Astyanax mexicanus: one gene and its partners. Each later gene encodes a partner of the first gene's protein in a complex. Links are inferred from orthologs where the notes say so. Each region holds a gene or a part of one and is shown on either strand. Other genes may lie near its edges.

Region 1 (6,988 bases):
GTAATACAGAAATGGCATATTTGTCTACTCAATTTAAATAATTAAAAACAAAGGTTAGCTGAATAGCTCATTTTGCGTCAGTTAACCAGATCTAGATTACATTAAACAGATTAAAATATGTTATTTTCAAATGGTGATTCACAACTGACATTTAATTGTAGACTAAGACTAGGCTTAATCTATGGAGCTCAAGAAAAATAAATATATACTAGTGCATCTAAAAAAAAATGACATGGCTCTCCAAACCATCATTGACCATCAGTGAATTTTGCAATTAATTTGGAAATTAAGGAGCAGAGTCTGGATGAAGAGTGGAGAGGCACACAGTCTAAGCTGCTTGAGGTCTAGTGTGAAGTTTCTACAATCAGTGATGGTTTGGAGAGACATGTCTTCTGCTGGTGTTGCTCCACTGGGTTATTTCAAGTCTAAAGTCAGTGCAGTGTTTCCCCAGAAAATCTTACAGCACTTCATTCTTCCCTCTGCTGACAAATTGTGAACTTATGAAGATGTGGATTTTATTTTCCAGCAGGACTTGACACACCACCCACACTGACAAAATTACCAACAGGTCTTAATAATATTCACATTATACAGATTTTTTAGTTTTTGTTGGCTGTAAGCCATAATCATCAACAATAAAATAAATAAATGCTTAAAATAAATCACTCTGTGTATAATACATCTATATAATATATGAGCTTCACAATTTGAGCTGAAATAAAGTAACTTTTCATTGGTATTCTAATTTTTTGAGATGCTATAATACACGGGTCCAAAAGTACTCATACACTCACTGTAATGTGTGAATTCAGCTGCTGACACAGGTGCTCAACTAAGCACACAACAGTACTCCCTAAAAAGCAGATGCTGTTACTAGGGCTGGACCCGAATATTCGGGTATTGGGATATTCGTTCGTTGAGTAGGTATTCGGTTTTTAATTTTGGTATTCGGATATTCGTTTTTTTTCTCCTTTCCAGAGTTCCACCTCACTCTAACCACTTCTGTTTTCGCGGGTCCCGTCAGAATATCTTGCGCGTGGGACAGAACTGAACTGTTATTGGCTGGAGCGGGAGTTTAATCCAGACGATGCGGGAGCAAATTAATAAATAGTTAAGAAAACTGTAATAATTGTAAAAAAAAAAACCTAAAGAAAACTCTCAACGCGCAGGATGGACCGACACACACACGCACACACCGATGGTGTTTGGACTGGGGTAAGGAACGGGACCGCACTATTCAGCGCTGCTGTTTTAATAAATATATAAGTAAATTTGAAGCATTAAATGTAGTTTATTTAATTTATATTAGGAACGTGGGGCGGGAGCGGCAGAAATGTGTATGTGGCGGGCGGGCGCGGGATTAAAAGAAGCAATTTTTTTGCGGCGCGGTAACGAGACAGAAACGCGGGAGCGTGGAAGAGTGGGTTTAAAAATCAGTCTTACGCAGACCTCTATTATACATGATAAAAAAAAAATGCAGGCTCTTCGAAACTGATTTATATAATAAAACGTAAGGGGTAATGTGGCAACAGTAGGGGCTAAATCGGTTACAAAAGCCTGGCCTACAAAAATGATGTCTGAACGAATTTCCTCTTATCTAATATAATTTAAAATGGTTTAAAAATATAAAATAATTTCTAAGCAAACGAAATATTTAATATTGAGCTTATAGCCCAAGTGCAAAAATACAAAATCAGTAATACGGCTATGCCCTGCACAATCCTTAAACCGAAATAGACCAAGTACAATAACGTCATTAACAATGACTTTCCTCTTCTCTAATATAATTTAACATGGTTTAAAAATATAAAATAATTTCTAAACAAACGAAATATTTAATATTGAGCTTATAGCCCAAGTGCAAAAATACAAAATCAGTAATATGCCCTGCACAATCCTTTAACCGAAATAGACCAAGTACAGTTTACAATGACTGTCCTCTAATATAATCAACAATGTTTAAGAATATAAAATACTTCCTGAACAAACGTTTTTTTTTTTTTTTTTTTTAAGCAAATAGCCTAAGTGTGAAAACACAAACAGCAATTTACTGGGCTGGCTTGCGCAGCGGAGAAACCGTGCAGCAGCAGCCTCCTAGCCTGCTTATGCAGCGGATAAGCCGCGGTGTGGGGCAGCAGAAATTCCGGGATGAAAACACAAAGAAATCTGGGCTAAAAACACAGAAAAAATATGGGGTGAAAACACAAAAATCCGGGATAAAAACACCAAAAATCCGGGGTGAATATGTCTCGTCGGTCAGAGCAAATTGGACATTTTTCAGTGGATTAAATGGGCCGTGATTTGCTTTTTTTTTTTTTTTTTACCTCTTTTTTTAAAAAACGAATATTCGAAAATTCGCTTCGAATCAGTGCCGAATATCCGGAGCTCAAAAAACGCTATTCGGGCCAGCCCTAGCTGTTACTGGGAGACACAGTTCACCCATTAAAACCTTTGGCTTCAGGCAGTAGTCATTCAGTGTAGCTGAACAGCAATGCATTAACAGGTTAGCACTTATTTTAGGGGAAAATGATAACTAGAGCAGATGTTTTACCCATCCTCGTGACTTCTGCCAGTGGAATGATCTCTCCTCCAGTCTGCTCGACGATAATGATGGTGAAGCTGGTGTTTTCCCCTTCCTCGCCAATTTCGTCTCCCCATTTCTCGTATTCATATGTAATGAGAGGCACTGAGGTAAGAACAGCTACAAGCTCACACGTCCAGCCCGCTGACCATGAAGAAACATGGATAAGGCACGTCTGAGCATTAGCGAACTTAGTTAGCTACATTGAATAGGATAGATAGGTTAGCTAGTCAGTCAGCTAGCCTGCTAGCACCTAAACGACTACCACGTAGCTAGTGGTAGTACACGTGGCAGCCCATGTTTTTTAGCTTGGTTCCACAGATTCCGCACACTTTAAGCCTCACTTTAACTCTTTAACTCGCTGTTTTATTCCCGAGTGTGACTGTTTTCCACCAAACAACTTCTTCACCCGCTCACATAAACAAACACACACGGGTATTGTACTTCCTGCCTCGGACAGCGGCGTTTCCTCGTGTGGCTCAGCGAACACCCCGCCTACTAAGCGCTTATTGGTTGTTTCACCAAAAATATGTATAATTTAATCACGGGATTGGATATCTGAGATGTCAATCACAGCAGAGGACGGTGTAAAAGGGCCACAGACCGTTGGTAAAAAACAAAAGATTAAGTCGTTTATTTTCCAAAAAAATATGAAATGAGTTGATGGATAAGTTAATATAAGAGATATCATGTATGCACCAAAAAAACATGAAAAAAAAAAAAAAAATATATATATATATATATCTAGAGAGAGAATTTAATATATTCTTAAATTGATTTAATTATTTTTGTTTGTTTTAAAAATATGTAATGAAGTGTCTGCTGATAAGTTCAATCAAATGTTATTTTTTATTAATCTAATTATTTATCTCTTAAGTTGACAGTTTTAAGGTAGTCTGTTCACTTTATTGTAAATTATTTTAGTTTGTTTTAATTAAATCTTTTTTTTTTGTTTGTTTGTGTTTTAATCTATCTTGCATATCAATCACCCACTCAGTCAGCTTTCACACGGAAAAAAAAAATTAGGGAAACCCTCTTTTTAATGCATTTTTAATGCAGGGACTGATAAACAAATCAATAAAAAATATGGCATTTAAAAAAAATAAGATTTAAATAAAAATTATTAAAAATAAAATGATAAGTGAACAGGCTAACTTAAAGCAGTCAAATTAAGGGATACATAATTAGATTAATACAAAATAACATGCTTGACCATATCATGATACATTTTATCACATTTCTGTGAAACAAACAAAAAACATCTAATCAATTTAAGTATATTTTACATTATATTTATACGAACACATATAATATAGCTATATAAATGTATGTGCTTTTGTTACAGTTTTGACATATTTAAGCCACGCCCCTATCTTAAATTATTTTATTGTATTGGGCGTATCTGCTGATTCTTTTTCATAAGGGTCCCAAAGACGTCTGAGATTTTGAATACTGGGCTACAGCGTGGCAGGATGGCGACTCTCACTCGGACGTAAGTAATAAAATACAAAATGTATTTTATCGTTTTTTAAACGTTTGTATTTTAGTTAGGAGCGTATTATCTCCAGTTATTATCGTCCTGCCTGCGGTGGACAACGCCGTTTCCTCGTGTGGCTCAGCGAACGTCCCGCCTACTTAGCGTTAATTGGTTGGTTCACCAAAATATGTATCATTCCATCATACGATTGGTTTTGTGCGATGTCAATCACAGCATTGAACGGGACGAGAGGGACAATAACACGGAGCGCTTTTATATGTTGTAATTTACCTGTCGTGGACAGAGAGTAAAGACTATAGGTTAACTAACTTAATGTTAAATAAATTGATGCGGTAATGAAAACCTTTTTTAAAATAAAAAGGCAAACATGCATGAAAAATATGAACATTCAGCATATATACCGTGCAACATATGCATAAATATATGACTATATACCAGCAGACACTGCACTTCTCTAACTATATTTCTGTAAAAATATCGGGATATCTGATCAAAACGAGCTAAAAGGCGTTAAAAAATAAAGCGTGTATAAAAATATCACGTATCTGGAACGTAAAGATGTATGGGTTTTTGTTAGGGTTTTGACAGCTTCCCTAAGCCACGCCCACGTCTTAAATCCCTTTATTGTATTGGCCAAACTGCTGGACACTGAGGTCCGTATTGGTTGTTTTTTTTTCATAAGGGTCCCAAAGAAGTCTGAGATTTTGAATATTGGGTTACAGTGTGGCAAAATGGCGACTGTCATTCAGAATCCACTAAAAGCGTAAGTAGTAAAATGGATATATACATTTATGTATGTGTTGTGGTTTTGTAAATATGTGTGTGTGTGTGTTTCGGCGGGGGCGTGTGTATCGCAGTTACAGAGCCCGGTTATTGAGCTGCTGCTGAAGGAGCGGGTTTTTATCCCGCAGATTCGGAGCTGATGTTTGATTTGAGGGTCTGTGAGATGTGAGCAGTCTGCGCGCTGCTGCCCAGCACTAGTTTCAGTCTTCGTGTGAGTGTGAGTGTGCTTATGTGCTGCATGGTGATGTGCAGGTCGGTTAGACAGGGGGTTGATTGTAAGTTCCAGGATTTCTTACCTGCGTGTTTCTGCACTTCTTCTTCTTCTTCATTACAGCAGCGCTGTGACTGTAGTTAACTAGTTACTGGTCCTGTCTCACAGCCCGGCCGCCGTTCCTCATCAGCGGGTGTAGAATAAGTGAGATGTAGTAACAGAGGTGACCGGGAGCTCGTTTACTGGTCGCTCTATACAGCTCTGGAAAAAAATAAGATTGCACTTCAGTTTCTGAATCAGTTTCTCTGATTTTGCTATTTATAGATTTATGTTTGAGTAAAATGAACATTGTTGTTTTATTCTATAAACTGCGGACAGCATTTCTCCCAAATTCCAAAAAAAATATTGTCATTTAGAGCATTTATTTGCAAAAAATGAGAAATGGCCGAAACAACAAAAAAGATGCAGAGCTTTCAGATCTTAAATAATGCAAAGGAAACAAGTTCATATTTATAACGTTTTAAGAGTTCAGAAATCAATATTAGCTGGAACAACCCTGGTTTTTAATGACATTTTTATGCATCTTGGCATGTTCTCCTCCACCAGTCTTACACACTGCTTTTGGATAACTTTATGCCACTCCTGATGCAAAAAATCAAGCAGTTCAGCTTGGTTTGATGGCTTGTGATCATCTATCTTTCTCTTGATTATATTCCAGGTTATCAATTTGATAAAATCAAAGAAATTCATCCTTTTTCAGTGGTCCCTTATTTTCTTCCAGGGCTGTGTGTGTACAGTGTTGGTGTTTAAAGTTGTAGGAGGACGTGGGGAATGTTCTCAGGTCTGATATTAGTCCTGCTCTGATCAATGACATTTTTTTACAGGCTGAAAAACAGCCAAAAAGTATTTTTTATAAAGTGTTATATTAGTATAGTGGTATATCTTTATATAGTGTTATATTATTTTGGCTGAGTGAAACCTCAGTGGACTCAAGTGAGATAAACTAGCGTTAACCTGCACACAGTGGGAGTATCATACAAATATATTCATATTTGCAAAAGTTGAAAAGTAATTCAGTAACTGTTAATCACTGAACTGCATGATACTCTATTTAAAACTTGATCAAATAAAATGTGTGTACTAATGTGTGTAATAATTAAGTAATGTTGAAAAAGTAAGCAACTAAGCCATGGGTTAAGTGGCATTAAAAACGTATAGGATTTATATAAATAAATGCACTGAAACTGCATAAACTCTGAATAAAAGACAGGAAAACCCTAAAATAGAACTTAGGGGGAGTTACACATAATTAGAATAACTTTGTTAAATAATACATACCTAACTGCATATTTATATATTGGTATAAATGAAAATGTGTATGTTTCTGCAGTGTGAAGTTAAATACACCACATAGCAGTATCATGATTTCTGTTGTTGTCTGCAGAATGTATCCAGTATTACACTGGACTGCAGAAAATATAATTCACTAAAATGATTTATTATTAATCACTGAACCACATGGCTCCCTATAAAAAGTGTAAAATATCATGTGAGGTGCCTGTGGGTTAAACAACATATAAAACTATCCTTAGATCCCCTCAGGTTCCTCATGAGTTTTAACAGCCTACACCATTTAATTTAGTAAACTGCTCTTGGGTTCATTTTAAAATACTAATTCCAGGCTGTTTACCTTTTAATTAATGATTACACTGATTTTAATTTAGGTTGAATCTTAAAGAAATATATTTCTTAAGTAAACCATGTTGATCTGCCATGCTTTACAATGAACTCCTTGCCCAGTGTTATAGTGATTCTGTACAGCATATTTTTAAAATATACACCACTGTTCAAAAGTGTGAAATCACGTTTCTTTAATAATAGAAAAAATAGAGATGAAAAAAATTAAATTATTATA
Region 2 (7,118 bases), on another chromosome or scaffold:
AATCTATTGTAAATACTGAATATTTACAACCAGTGCAGGTGTTTAGCTGTGATTTAGACTGTAAACTCCTCCATCTGTAATGAGACACTGATGCAGCTTTAGTACAAGTTTATATAGCTATATATATATATATATATATATATATATATATATATATATATATATATATATATATATATCAAAGCTTAGAATCAGACTACATTTATTATTGGATGAGAGTTTTTTTTGTATGAGCGGTTAATATACAATCCAATCTATAATACACGATAACATCCAATATACAGTACCAGTCAAAAGTGGACACACCTTAATTTTAGGTTATTTTCAGTATTTTAACATTTCTGCATTGTAGATTAATACTAAAGTCATCCAAATTATAAAGAAAACATATGTATGGGGAGTTGTCCCAAAAGAATCCTCTTTTTATTCCATGATGCACTTTTGTAGTGGTTAGTGTAGTGAATAGGGGTTAAATATGGTCTGCAGTGTTTGCTATTCTGTGTTGTTAGTGGTGTTTGTTAGCTCTGCTCTGCTGTGATACTCACTGTACTGGGCCGAGTGAGGTACTCTCAAGAGGGGTATCAAGTTAGTGGTGTTAAAATGTTTAATCTGCTTCCTCCACAAGATTCACTGGTTTTACATATTATACAAACATTTTCGCTTAAGTCAGATACAGTAAAAGCAAAGTGGAGCCAGCATAACACTGCCTATAATGAGCATCTGCAGCCATGTACAGGCTCTAGAATTTTGCAGAGCTACTGTTATCCTTAACTGAGGATATGATCTAAAAGGGTATCAAGTGGAATATGGCTATTTTAAATATCTGCCAATATCAATACATAGCCGATCAATTGTCCGTCTCTAGTTCAAAAGTCTCAAAACTGTTCTGCACTGCAGAGTTAGCATGGCTAGCTGATTAGCACATTGAGGTGGCTAGCTCCTCATTCTCCCTGCTCCACTCGCACTGCAGGCAGGCAGATATATAAGGTATGAGTGACACACTGAGAGGTGAGACAGGTGACCAAGATGACCAAGTAATAAAACAGTGAGAAACTAATCAAACAGAATGGTAGAATTTGATTGTGTGTGTGTGTGTCTCATACTCATGCCGTTCTTCAGTGGTGATATCAGCTCCACTCCAGGTCGGGGTACATGAAGGGCTGTGGTGTCCATGTAGAAAGTCCGCCCGCTGTTGTTATCTTGCTCCGCCCCCATCTCTGCAGGCCCCTCCTCCTCTACATGCACTCCTAAAGAGGTGGGGAAGTCTGCCTGCAGGAGATGTGATATAAACAAGGTGTATCTAAAGGTGTGAGGCTTTACATCAGAATATTTTCTGCTTATTCATACACTGAAGGTGGATAAATGTAGGTATGGATTAGTGGATGTTATTAAAACGATAGATGGATGGATAAATATATGGATGGATGGGTAAGGGTACCTTAGGGCAGTCTTCACCAGCATAACCTGCTCTAGTGGAGAAGGAGCCGATATCAAACACCAATGCCCCCACCTCATCTAAGAGAGAGAAAGAAAGATAGTGTGAATGAGAGAGAGAGAGAGAAGTACAGTAAGAGAGAGACAGAGAGAGATGACAGATCTACAGTAATGATATAACTAAAGTGATGATGGATTAACAGAGATGTAGCCACAGTAAGAATGGGGTTACAGTAATGATGATACAGTAATGACAGAAAGGGATGAGGCTTTAACAGGCTTTTATACAGTGATGGTGGAGTTACAGTGATGACAGAATAACAGTGATGGCAGAGCTACAGTGATAACAGAGCAACAGTGATAACAGAGCAGCAGTGATGAGAGAATAACAGTAATGACAGAGCTACAATAATGATGGAGCTACAGTGATGCCAGAGTTACAGTAATGGTGGCAGAAGTAGAGTGATGATAGCTACAGTGATGACAGGGCTACAGTAATGATGTAGCTACAGTATTGCCAGAGTTACAGTAATGTTGGCAGAGCTAGAGTGATGACAGAGCTACAGTAATGATGGAGCTACAGTATTGCCAGAGATACAGTAATAATGGCAGAGCTACAGTGATGCCAGAGTTACAGTAATGATGGCAAAGCTAAAGTGATGACAGGGCTACAGTAATGATGGAGCTACAGTTATGACAGTTACAGTGATAACAAAGCTAAAGTGATGATGGAGTTACAGTGGTAAAATCAATAATAGAAGCAAACGATGGAGCTACAGTAATGATGGAGTAAAAGTGATGGACAGCACTACAGTAATTATGGAGCTACAGTGATGATGGAGATACAGTAATGATGGAGCTACAGTGATGATGGAGTTACAGTGATGACAGAGCTACAGTAATGATCGAGTTACAATGACAGAGCTACAGTGATGACAGAGTTACCGTGATGACAGTTACAGAGATTACAGAGCTACAGTAATGATTGAGCTACAGTGATGACAGAACTACAGTGATGACAGAGTTACAGTGATGACAGAGCTACAGTGATGACAGAGCTACAGTAATGATTGAGCTACAGTGATGACAGAGCTACAGTGATGATGGAGTTACAGTGATGTTTCTCTCTTACCTCCACCGTAGACTCCACCACTCATGTCTATCGCTCAGTCCCTCCAGTTTCACTCCTCAGGCGAGTCGTGTGCAGAAATTTGTTGTTTATTAGTCCTGAAGTCCTGACTGACACGACAGGCTAAATAATGCTCGTGCACGTGCCTCTGCTCTTCCTTCGAGAGCTGCAGCTCGGCAACAGCTCGCCAGTGTGCGCGTGCGTGCACCCGCCGGCTGAGAGAGAAAGAGAGAGAGAGAGAAAGAGAGAGAGAGGGCTCTAAGGTGGGATCATCTTTTCTGCAGCAGAATGTAAGTGTGTGGACAGGAGTGTGTGTAGGTGTTTGCGTGTGAGAGGATTTGGAGGTGGTACAGTAAGCTATATAATTCACTAAGAACCACACTCAGAACCCCCATCTGGTCCTGTTTCATACTGAGGAACTTGCAAAATCAACAATGAAAGAGAAAAGGATGAAAGAAGTGAGGGATGAGGAGGTATGCAGAAGGTGAGAGTGACATGGCGGTCCTTAAGCTGTTCTGAGTTTAGAAACGGTCAAACTGCACCCCCTGTTGGTGGCTGCAGTACTGCACACACGCGCGCGCGCTGCAGCTGATAGGCTAACTGATAGATGTTTTCTATAAAACATGAATGGTTTACTTTAGTATAGAACATATGCTCTAATCCTAAGACATGCTGATAGAGGCACTTGTAATGTTGTGTATATTTTAATTATTATTCTGTTAAAAAAATTGTCTGAAAATAAATGGTTCCAATACTGTATAAAACAAAAAATACATTGAATTAATACAGTAATCTAAATAAATATTTAAATAGAAGATAATGAATATGCATGCACTTTGATATCTAATAAACACGTGTATATTTATAAATAATAGCATTTGTTTTTATCCATGTATTTTATTTGGACTATTCGTGTTCAAATGATGGACACTGACACAAACACAATGAATAAATAATAAATACATTATAATTTACAAGACCACATATAAATAATGTATTTTTTACAATCCTAAAAAGATTCTTATAAATATTTTGTAAGTAGTACATGTACAACTGAGTCGTTGTAAGTCTTTTAATATCTAACCACCTTCAGACAGCCTGTACCTGTTTTACTTAATCGTATTTATTCTTTTATTTTTATTTTAGTCCTCTCTTAGTTATTTATTTCCTTTTTATTTCTTTCATTATTTCTTTTTGTATTTTTTGTTTTGTATTATTACATTTTAACTTATTAAAAGTTTATGATTATTATTGTTATTATTGTTTTTTATTTATAAATGTTTATTTTTTATTGTACTATGTAAAAGTTAGTTTTAACTTAATATTAACAGTTTTTTTGTATTACTCTTATCTTCTTAATTTCTTAGCAATTAAACCAAGTTTTATTATTAATATGATTTTTTAAAATCTATTTTTATCTTTTATTTACTGTTATTTTTAAATTATTAAATGTAGTTATTATTTTCTTTATCATGTCAATCCCTGTATTTGTAAATGCTCAGCTACATAAAAAAGAGGGTTGCCCTAGATGTACTTCCGAGTCAAAATAAAGGTTGATTGATTGATCGGTTTATTGACTAATACATATTGATCTAATTAATATAACTTACTGTTAAAAACGTGAGTGAGGACTTTTATTTGTGAGGTCTGTATTTACCCAGGCCTGTTATTTATGTGTTGCTCCTTTTTAAGCTCCTCCCTGGTGTCCGGTTCCAGCAGGACCACCTTCCCCACCTCCCCTCCGCTCGGTCTTTGAGGGGGGATTCCGTATCCGAGAGACTGTACCGTCCCCCCCTCCGCAGCGCTGCAGTGGTTCAGTCCGGCCGCGCTGCGCTGAGAGCGGGCCGCACAACGGCGCAGCTGCGCGGGGGAGCACGGGGGGGAAAAGTTTTAGTTCTTACTGGACAGGACCGGAGAGAGTTCGGCCATGGGGGAAATCTAACCGGACACACACTCTCTCACACTCACATACACACACACACACACACACACACTCACACACACACCACCCGCTTGGACAGCAGCGCAGCCCCCCGTCCCGGCGAAGGTGAGTGTCTCCCGGTTCGCTCCGAGGGTCCGGTGGAGGGCGGCCCGCGAGGGCTAGCGTTAGCACGTTAGCGCTGGAGGTAGAGAGGGGCTATGGGAGGGGTCGGGGGTACTGTAGTTAACACACACAAATTAGAACAGGGTCAGTGTTTTAAAGAGTGGGTGAGATTGACAGTGAGCATCTGTATCTGACCATTTCTGTCTTAATGGAAATGTTCGGTCCACCTTAAATGGAGAGTGTAACTGCTGCAATAAGGTGGAACGAACTATTTCAAAAATACAGCTTAACAGCTTAGTTATTTCTTACTGACAAAATGTTTGTTCGTGCGTGTGTCCTGTGACAGCTGGAGCGGTGTCTCTACACACTAATCACCATCCCTCTCTCCCTTTTTCTCTCTCTCTCTCTTATCTCTTTTTCTCCCTCTTTCTCTGGGTGTGGGGTGGATTAAAACATGGGTATAACTATCCATCAAATGATTTTATATATGTGAAAAGGGAGAGTGAAGATAGAGGGAAGCAAAGGGAAGAGAATGTTAGAAAGGACTTCATCTAGAGAGAAAAAGAGAGGGAGAAAGAGAGGGGAGGAAGAGAGAAAGTGAGAGAACTAGGAGAGTTTGGTCTGAAATATTTTAGTAGTGATGTAAGGCTACAGTCCTGCTCACCTCAACTCAGCTCTTACACACACATCTAGAACAGTGTGTGTTTATTGTGGCTGAGTTCCTTTTCTGATCTAATAATGAGCTAATTTTAAATCCACACACTCTGTGTGTGTGTGTGTGTGTGTGTGTGTGTGTGTGTGTCTGTGTGTGATGGCTTCTCACCAAGTCTAAATCACCTGTTGAGAAACATCTGCTCTCACACACAACTCTGATTTACACTGCTTTGATCATTTCAGTCTTACCCACACACACAAACTTTTACACTGCTTTGATCTTGTCAGTCTTGCACACACACGCATATGCTATTGAGGGAGTGTTTTTCCTCTGTGAGTGAGTTCCATGGTGCTTCCTTTTCCAGCGGAAGTGATGTGAGAAATCCAGTCACAAGTGGTCACAGGACGTGCATATCAAATGCCAGATGGACTGGCAGTACATTTTGGCAATCAATTATGATTGGGTCTCCCAGGATGTATGTTTGTGCAAGGTGTGAACATTGCAACTGACTAAAGAATGTAAAAGTAAACATTAGAGATTACCTCAGTTTGAGACACAGCCCCTGAAGCTAATCTAAACTAACACAGGATCCTGGATCCTGTCAACTGTGTTCTGATTGGCTGTACATGTGAATGTCCACGTGAATATTTTCAATACTGATTCTCTTGCTTGGTTCATTGATAGAAAATGGAAAAACCTACAGTATGTTTAAGGGTGTTTGTTTACACAGCAGCACTTTTTAAACGGGTTAACGCCGACTCTGGTTTATTTGCACCCCTAGAGCAGTTTATTTTGGCTGGTGTGAAAAGGAGGTAATCTCATCTCAGCTCCAAACGAACCCCCGAAACGCATTGTTTGAGGTGTAAACGTGGCCTGACCTCGATCTGACCCAACCATCAAATAAATTGAATTGAATTTGACCTGATTTGTTATCTAGATAATTACTACTGCTGTTGACGAATGCTATCTTTGACACTGCTCTAAAATATGTGCTAGTCTGGAACACCGCACTATTTTCATGCATTTACTTTCTAGGTCTGCCCCAGAAATGTTTGACCAATAATCAGAGAGAAAGTTCTCTCATGGTTTGTTGTGATGCATTTTGTTCTATTTGCAGTTTTTTATGTGTGAACCCAAAACAAACCAAAGACGGTGACATTCCAAGTTAATAAACTTGTTAACTGCTTCGGACCAAAGAAAGAAACAGATGTTTTGACTTAAAGTAGTGTTAGGTGCTTTAAAGGCTCCCTCATGGACAAGCTGTACACAAGCATTTGTTGACAAGCTGAAAGACACAAAAGCAGCGGTGGACTAAGAAGGTAGAGTAACCTTACAGGAAGTTACACATAGGGCTTGTTTAACATGTGTATATATATATATGCGTATTTAGAATTTTTATGAGAAATAGGAAATAACAGGATAAGTGTGGGTGTTATTGTTCTTTTATACTGGAAAATAAAAACGTATTTCTTCTGGTCAAACCGGGGAGGTATTGTAATACAAGTGTAAACAGAATTCGGTCAAGCATATAGATACCATCCAGAGACAATGGCAGGTGTAAACAGGCCCATATATGAATTGGGTTACACACTGATACAGTACTGGAGAGCAGTGTCATACAGCTTCAAAGTTCTGTAGTGCAGTATCAGAATTTTGGAGTGGAAATGACAAAGTTGCCATTCTTGCTGTTGCAGTCAGTTTACCATCAGTATGATTCAGAAACTGCTGTTTTAAGACAAACTGTATGGACTAAACTGTCTATATATGGACCACCTGCTCATTCATTGTTTCTTATGAAATTAAATGTATTAAAAAAAGAGTAGTTTTTATTGGAATATCTCTCTATAACTTCTCTA
Region 3 (8,018 bases), on another chromosome or scaffold:
TTCACCATACGTAAATTAAAAAATATAACAATATCAATAGTGGCTCAAATGACACCCCGATCATGACCTTGCCCCCTCACCCCCCTGATCTTGTTTTGAAGTATCTTTGTGTGATGTAGCAGTGACAGCACCTTCCAAAAGTATTGGAGCATTGAGAGCTGTAGACATAAAAGGATCTGATACACAGTTTAGAACATTGTGCTTTTTGTCTGACCTCATTTTTGTTATGAGAAATAATATTGGAACATGTGACTTTCAGGTGTATTTTGTTGCCCAGGTGTGTTCTGATACATTGACTGCTCAAACAATAAATAGCTCTGAATGTATATGCTTAGTTTCAGTTTGGATTTAGCCCATGTGGACTGTGCATTTGATATTTAAATGAGTAAACATGAAAAACGAGCAATTGTGAAGCTGAGAGATGATGAAAAATCAATTGGAACCATTGCATAGATATTGTCCATAGCCAATAAAACCACAGCAGTCGAAACATTGTTAATACTGTAAAGAAAGACCATCAAACAACTGCTAGTGGCATCAGCAACAACCTTCAAAAGGTAGGAGTGAAGGTATTGCAATCTACTGTTCGCTGAGGATTTAAAAGCTGGAATTTCCCAAGATGTACAGTGATAAGAATATGGACTGATGAACTTTTACCAATGTGATTGAAAGGCTAAATTTTGGAGAAAGAAAGAATCTGCTCATGATTCCAAACATACAAGCTTGTCTGTGAAACAAAGTTTTCTACTGAAACTTTTGTCTTTCAATTTAAAGAAAGATGCAACCAATCTAATTGGGAGATCCTTCATCATACAGCAAAATGATGACCCAAAACTCACTGCCTGGAAAGCATCGCAGAAGAAGAATGCGAAAGTTTAGTAACGTCAGTGGGTCACAGACGTGATGCAGTTATTGCAAGCACAGGATTTGTAGCTAAATAAGGAATTTCAACTTTAATCTGTATTTAAGTCTATCTGTTCCAATACTTTTGCCCAAAAAAAGAAAAATGGGTGGGTTCCGATAAAAGGTGCCATCTTCTGAACTGTGTATCAGAATTAGATGTACCTGGAAATAAAAGCTGAAATGTTGATCTTTTGCATGATATCAATTTTTAATATCAAACCCAAATGTTTTCAGTCTACAGCAGGTGTGAATACATGGATCAGCCTCACTGTTCCAATATTTTTGGAGGGGTCTGTTTATAGTGTCTTAAATGTGTTTATGTAGATGTTGTTACAGTTTCGTGTTCTAACATCTCACTCAATGAATTGCACATGTAGGAGTGAGGATGACTCATTGACGACGCTCCAAGTTCGTCCTTCAGCTTTGCTGGGCTCAAAGCGACATGAGAAGAACCAAGGGAGTCCGCGTGTGTTGCTAAGAGACGAGTCGTTTCCACAGTAACGACATTGGCAATGGGGGGGGGCCCTCCAATCACTACCCACAATGCCGTTTGGCTCACCTTCAGTAACAAACGCACGACCTGAATTGTGCTGACTGGCGGAAGGGCCATCGATTAGCTTCACCGTTCGGTTTACACAAGTGTTTTCTTTCTCACTCTGTTTCTCTCTTTCTCTCTTTCTTTTTCTCTTTATTTTCCTGGAATATTTTGCACAATGAATCGATGTCGTGTTGATCGTTTTGTCTTGACAGTGTAACTTGATAGTTCTTCAGAGTGGCGCGACCTGGTGGCGTGGAACGCGCACAACAATGGGAAGCTCTCAGGGAGGACCGGGGCGGGGCCATTGGTTTGAATGGCAGGTGGTAGTAAGCAAGTGGCGGATGCCTCCCTTCACTTGAGACTTTTGATTTTTCTTTTGCACGTCTTCACTAGGTCTTAAACGGCTGAGGAGGACGTGTTTTTAAATGATGGCCAAGAAAAGATATTTGCAAAGAACAGGACTGATAAATAACTCATCAATCAATGCTGCTTATTTCACCATTTCGAGTTGTAAGGGGCTTTTTGCACGAATCCACAAAGGTGCATCCTTTTTTTTTTCCTGGTGATCCTCAAGGCAAAAGAGCCGTGTTGACACCTTGAAGAACAATTATGATCTTCTAATATCGCACTCTTACAGGAAAAAATATTATAAAATAAAACTTTGAGACTCTGTATAAACACTTGAAATTGCCTCTGGCAGAAAGACGTACGTATTCCTTTGAGGAGAACGTATCAAGACTAGAATTTCTCCTTTTATCATTTTTTTGTTTCTTCCTTTCTTGGTCTTGTTTCTGTGTACTAGATGTTTACAGTGTAAGGAATCATGTGTGTCTTCACTGTGTTGTAACTGTACATACATTTGACTAGGTGAAAAATGCTGCTATCCTGGCCAGGCCATGAGCCGTATGCTTGTGGACATGTCAACACGTGTAATAAACGATCAGAACCATGTATGTGTGTTTGAGGTTCACTTCAGTACCCTGCTGAAAATAGCCTGGCTAGCTCCACCCTAGCTCACCCTTGTTAAGCAGGCTGACCAGCTTAGCTTGTGACCAACAACCTGAAGCTAACAACCAGGTTATTGACTAGCTTAGACAAGTTTATTGTGCTGCTGGTAGACAAGTTAGTCCATCAAACTCAAAGGAAAACATACGTAATGCTGATCAAGAGGTAACAAGTTACTTAACCCACTTAACCACCTGGTATAGGGTATATTTTCACCTAGATGACGAGCTTTTCAACCAGCTCTTTGTTTATGATAAAAGGGATGAATGTAGGTTGTTAGATGCTAAATAAAAAAGTCAATTTTATAAATGTTGTATTACAGGCTTGCATGTTGTTCCATTGATAACTCCTCACATGGAGACAATGAAAACTGGTACGTTATTGTACAGTTAATTTCTGGATTTCTCCTGTAACTTTTGACACAATTATGTTTAAGAAACTAAGTAAAATAAGTATTTTTCTAAATAATGCAACTCAATGGCCTAGCCTATGAACAGTTATGAATACACACCAGGTTAGGCTAATGTATTGACTGAGGAATTCATAGCAAAATATTCTCCAAAAAGAAGTTAAGAATGTATTTTGCATGTTACTCCATGTTAAACTTCACAGAAATATGCACTGGTTTAGAACACAGGACCTTCTTCCTGTATTTTATTTCATGCTCCCAACCCAGAAAGATCTGACCAATAAGCATATACATGTCACGTTTGTTGTGACTTATTTTTAAGTGCTTGAATTTTTCTCCTATTAAACCAAGTCAAGAGGAAAATGCTTCAAGTTTCCAAATAAACTATAGGTGTGGAAATGCAGTAAGCTGATCAAGCCAAATAGAATAGATAATACACACAGTTAGCCTTGTGATAATGTTACATATTTCATTGCAAATCCCATAGCGAGCTACTTTACATTAGCATTGTCCCTCTGGTGGTAATTATGAAGGTAATTGATGCTGAGATTCAAAAAGAAGTCTTGTTCATCCCAACTCTAGCCCTTTGTCAGTTGTAAGATTAATACCGCACAGCCACTCAACAGAACGGTGACTTCCTTTACAATTCAAACACAAAAAGGGGAAGAACATGGTGGGTACCCAGCATGGATATGATGGCAGCTGTGGTTAGAAACTGCCAGTAATGAATGCAGAAGTAACAAGTACCACCACCAAACAGGAACCACTGGACTTCCAGTGTTTACCATTTGTCTTTGCTTTCCTGGCAAACTGTGGACCTCTGTGCTAACCATATATTCATCGCAGTACAAAAGTTTTTTGAAGGAAACATTTTGGTTGAATTTTATCTACAAGAACAACCATTTTTGTGTATGTTGCTGTTGTCACAGCCATTAAAATATTTCCATATTTTCATCCATTCATCTTGACCCCAAAACATATATCCAACAATCAATCACTGGTCACAGCGCATCATAGCTTGGTGGTGTGTCCACAAACTACAGAAACCATCTGTGAGTGTCTGACCACCCTGCTGAAAAGCGAGCTTAGGAGCCGCTTTTTCATTCTTTAGGATGGTCTAAGTTGATCCTTGGTGGTAAAGGGGGTTGAAAAAACTTTTTGAACATTGGAAAGCTTGGTAATGCTGGTTGATCAGTTTTATTATGCTAGTTATGCTGGTCTTGAATGTCTCCCTACTTGGTCTTGTTGGTCATGCTGGTTAACCATTATAGTCACGTATGTTCACACTGGTTGTTTACCAGCTAAACCCTTAAAGTCACAGAAACAAAGACATTTTATGCTGCTTAAAATCTGGTCAGACGTATGTTAACTAGCTAGCTGTGTACTGGGAAAACATCATAGAAGTCACTACCACCCACAGTGGTGGTTATGAACATGACCTTAGGGGAATCTGTCCAATTGAACAGACAGGCTACTCCACATTCATCGCAGGAGGTCCTAGACTTATATCTTGCATATATCATGTTCTTTAGCATCCATGGGACAGGACAAAATAATTGAGACAATACAATTTCCTGTCCCATGACATTTGGCATGTTTATATATAAATATTCTGTTTTAGACATTTTTTTATTTATTGTGTAGTGTTTGTTATTATTATCATTATTAATATTGAAGTAGTGGCAGTGGTTCTTGTAGGTGTTTTATTCTAAAATTTATATTCCTTCCCTTTGTTTTATATATATGTGTGTGTGTGTGTGTGTGTGTGTGTTTGTGTGTGTTCATCTTAGATTAAAAAAATGTGTAATTGTACAAGCACATATCATTAATGATAATAATGCTTTTTAAATGTTGATAGTACTCTCTGTGAGGAATTGATTTAGTAATCAGAAGTGTATTACGCTAGCTAGAAGTGTAAAAATATAGATGTTTACAACAACCGTGTCCAAGAGGCATTCGGTGGGATTATCTGGCAACCCACGGAGGCCCCCCACTTGAACCTCAGCCCTTAGTCATTGGTCAATCTCTTGTAAAACGACTGAGCAACCAATTATAGCGCGGACTGGCAGGAGGGGGCGGGACCAGAGAGAAGGAGAGAGGGAGATAGAAAGAAACAGAGGAAGAAAAGGAGAGAGAGAAACAGAAACAGGAGAGAGAGAGAGAGAGAACACGAGCGCGCGTGTGTTTTATTTAGTATAGTTTAGTTATCGTCGGAGCTCGGGCAGCATGGCTTCCAGACCGGGGTTCCTCCCGAACAGCCCGGCGGGTCCAGGCACCGCGAACCCCGGCCCCCCGGGGCCCCCAGGCAGTGTGCGTATGGCGGGGATGCCGCAGAGCACGGGGGGCTATCGGGGTCTCCCGGTCCCCACTGGACAATACCCGGTAAGCCCGTGTGGTGGCAGCGCGACCCTAACGAAAGTTTGGCAGCTCGCTGAATTCAGTTATTTTCGTTAAATTCTTATTTTTTCGAAATTTAGCGAAGTTCGTTATTTTCGTTACGGCCGTTGGCTGAAATCCCCTCACGCGCTTTTGTCTGAGGGAGCGGCTCGCTAAGCTAACTGACAGTACACACATATACACACAGTCATTACAGCGCGTGTATGTTCATTAATGTCCAAAAACCGTCCTTAATACAGTTACGGATTCATTACCGTGCTAAGAAAATGTCGTTACCGTCTGTTCTGTAATTTAAAGTGCAAAATAACGGGAAAAGTCCGTTTTTAAGATGTTACGGTTGTATCTGCGTTAGCATGAACGTTGACCGAACTTCCGCGTTTAAAGTGAACTGACTTAAACCGATACTCGTTTACACGCTGAAAGAATCGATTTAAATAAGTTAAAAGAAGCGGATTTAACGGGGCGCACAAACGTCAGTTTTGGCATCATGTCATTTCAATGTTTGGCTTTGACGTGATGTTGCGTCACATCTCATAAACAGATGTGAAAACAAGGCTTCGGGAGGGGAATTTGATAGCAGTCTTTCAAATGGACTTTGTCTCACTATTAAAGTGGTTAAGAATAATAGGAATAAAACTATTGTGGTTCATGAATAATTTATATTTTCCTCATGTTCTGTTATTGTGTAGCTTAAGCTCTTTTACCCTTTAATGATTGGAGTTGTCATCCATATACATAATTAATATGGTTTTGGTCTATATTTTTTAACAACCGTTTTTTTTTTCAACAAACAGTACCATTAAATGTTTTCCAAGCTATTGTTTTCTTTACATTTAATTCCAAAACTGTATTTATTTTTTATGAATAGTAAGCAGTCCTCTTCAACCTTATCTGCAGCTTTTATATTGAACATATGTATATGAATTAAGGAAAAGTGTAAAATATAAATGATGTACAGTCTCGATTATCCCATTTTAAAATAAAATTAAAACAGTAATCCAGAGAGGTAGCACCAAATATTAGCCAACCAAAATTATTTAGCAGAAAGTGCTTTCTTACTCAACACTCAGATAATAAATACTGAACAATATTGTGCTTTATTGACGTGTCTGCTGGGATATTAAAATGTTCAGTGTTGAATAATTATTTTAATTGTAGTTTTGTATAAAAAAAAATAAAAGGGGCAAAATTAATGAGTTAAATAAAATGTGTTCATTGTTTGGTCTTTAACAAAAAATGCCTAGAGTCCGTTTTTGTCTCTTTACCTCTTTTATCATTCTGCTGTTTGTCATACGTGGTCCAGTGTTTCTGACCTGTCTGTGTGTGTGCGTGGTTGCAGCGTCCCAGCATGCCGCCCAGTCGAAACATGCCCATGGGTGGGATGGGGCCAATGGGATCCCCCATGCCTGGGCCATCCTATGGTGGCAGCATGCGCCCCGGCATGCCTCAGGCAGCGCTGGACCCGGTCCGCAAGAGACTGCTCCATCAGCAGGCAGGGGGGCTGGTGGGGCCTCGGAGAGGGTGAGTGTTCACTGGAGGTTGGAGTTTAGCAGCAGCAATTTTTTTTATTTAAACCATTACAATGTTGTTTTCCAGTGGCATGTTGTTACATATTAAAGCTTAATCTTTATTTATTATTTACTAGTAAAGAGTGATTAATTATGCTGAATTATTCATTTCTTTTCATTTGCGCAAATAGAACATAAAAAATTTACTCTGCTATTTGTATAACTTCTTCTGTTAAACACAACTTTAACAGGTAAACGAGTGAATTAAACAAGTAGGAGAGGAAACACGGAAAACCTATGCTTCACAGAAGCAGCAAGTGTGTGTGTGCGCGTGTGAGAGAAAGAGAGAGAAAGGAAGGACCAAAGGAGACCAAGGGAGAGGAAAGAGGTGCAAGTTAGCTGTGAGATTTAATCCATATTTCAACATAAATAAAATATAGCCTACCTTCTGAACTCAACAGTAGCAAAACTGTATTTGCATTGCTAAATAAACCTGGTGATACATAATTTGTCTCTGTAAAAAGAGTGATTTATGGGTGAAAGCTAGGGCCAAAATTAGTTAACTGATAAATTTGCTTAAAAAATGTTCTGTGATGTTCTAGAATGTTGCAGACTGCAAAACTAATTGGAACAGATTGTAACTTGCTAGATTTTTGTTTCAAATAATTTAAAAAGCAAACCTACCCTTATGTATTTAGGGCTTTGTGTACCAAACTCATACAGAACCGTGATGTCCAATCCATGATGTGAACCGAACCAAGACTAGCAATGTACCATTACATCCCTATTATTCACTTATTCCAGTTCCACAGCATTTCTGTGGCCAACATTGAATGGGTAGAGTGTGGCTAACACACTTAAACTTGTCCAGCAGTGAAGCAGCAGGAAGGGTTTCCCCACATTCAAAGCCTTGTACATTAACAGAAAAGCTCATCTCAGTTTGATCTTCTAGCATGTGCAAATTGACAGTGGCTTGTCCTTTGGGGCAGAAAGAACTTTTTGTACCCTTCCTCAGAGATGCATTTGTTTCCGCCCTGAAGGGAGGAGTGAAGGCACTGGTGTAAAACAAAGGAAGCTTAACTCTAACACTGTCTCATGATCTAAACTGCTGGATTACGCCGAAAGGAAGAAGTGCTAATAGAGCTGTGCCATCTGTACAACTTTAAAAACAAGCTTGGGAGGAAGATGGATCTATTTTAGTAATGGTGTTTATTATTTGGCAAAAGTCATCAGTCTGTTACAGCATAGGGTAATTTTG

The links.
Region 2: dpf3 (region 1) and actl6b share a complex: the UniProt entries of both Homo sapiens proteins name them as parts of the BAF complex. The link is inferred for Astyanax mexicanus from reciprocal best matches to the Homo sapiens genes DPF3 and ACTL6B.
Region 3: dpf3 (region 1) and smarcd2 share a complex: the UniProt entries of both Homo sapiens proteins name them as parts of the BAF complex. The link is inferred for Astyanax mexicanus from reciprocal best matches to the Homo sapiens genes DPF3 and SMARCD2.

The regions. Positions count from the first base shown.
Region 1 is NC_064408.1:78,428,937-78,435,924, forward strand, and holds the start of dpf3 (zinc finger protein DPF3), read left to right. Parts: upstream 1-3,979; 5' UTR 3,980-4,053; coding exon 4,054-4,073; intron 4,074-4,761; coding exon 4,762-4,842; intron 4,843-6,988. Other genes in the region: wdr21 (WD repeat domain 21), read right to left, coding at 2,552-2,658. UniProt on the Homo sapiens protein: Belongs to the neuron-specific chromatin remodeling complex (nBAF complex).
Region 2 is NC_064420.1:26,447,294-26,454,411, reverse strand, and holds the start of actl6b (actin-like protein 6B), read right to left. Parts: upstream 3,071-7,118; 5' UTR 2,592-3,070; coding exon 2,567-2,591; intron 1,516-2,566; coding exon 1,439-1,515; intron 1,270-1,438; coding exon 1,104-1,269; intron 1-1,103. UniProt on the Homo sapiens protein: Involved in transcriptional activation and repression of select genes by chromatin remodeling (alteration of DNA-nucleosome topology).
Region 3 is NC_064422.1:21,924,705-21,932,722, reverse strand, and holds the start of smarcd2 (SWI/SNF-related matrix-associated actin-dependent regulator of chromatin subfamily D member 2), read left to right. Parts: upstream 1-4,948; 5' UTR 4,949-5,081; coding exon 5,082-5,237; intron 5,238-6,591; coding exon 6,592-6,773; intron 6,774-8,018. Other genes in the region: atxn7l3b (ataxin-7-like protein 3), read left to right, coding at 1,281-1,300. UniProt on the Homo sapiens protein: Involved in transcriptional activation and repression of select genes by chromatin remodeling (alteration of DNA-nucleosome topology).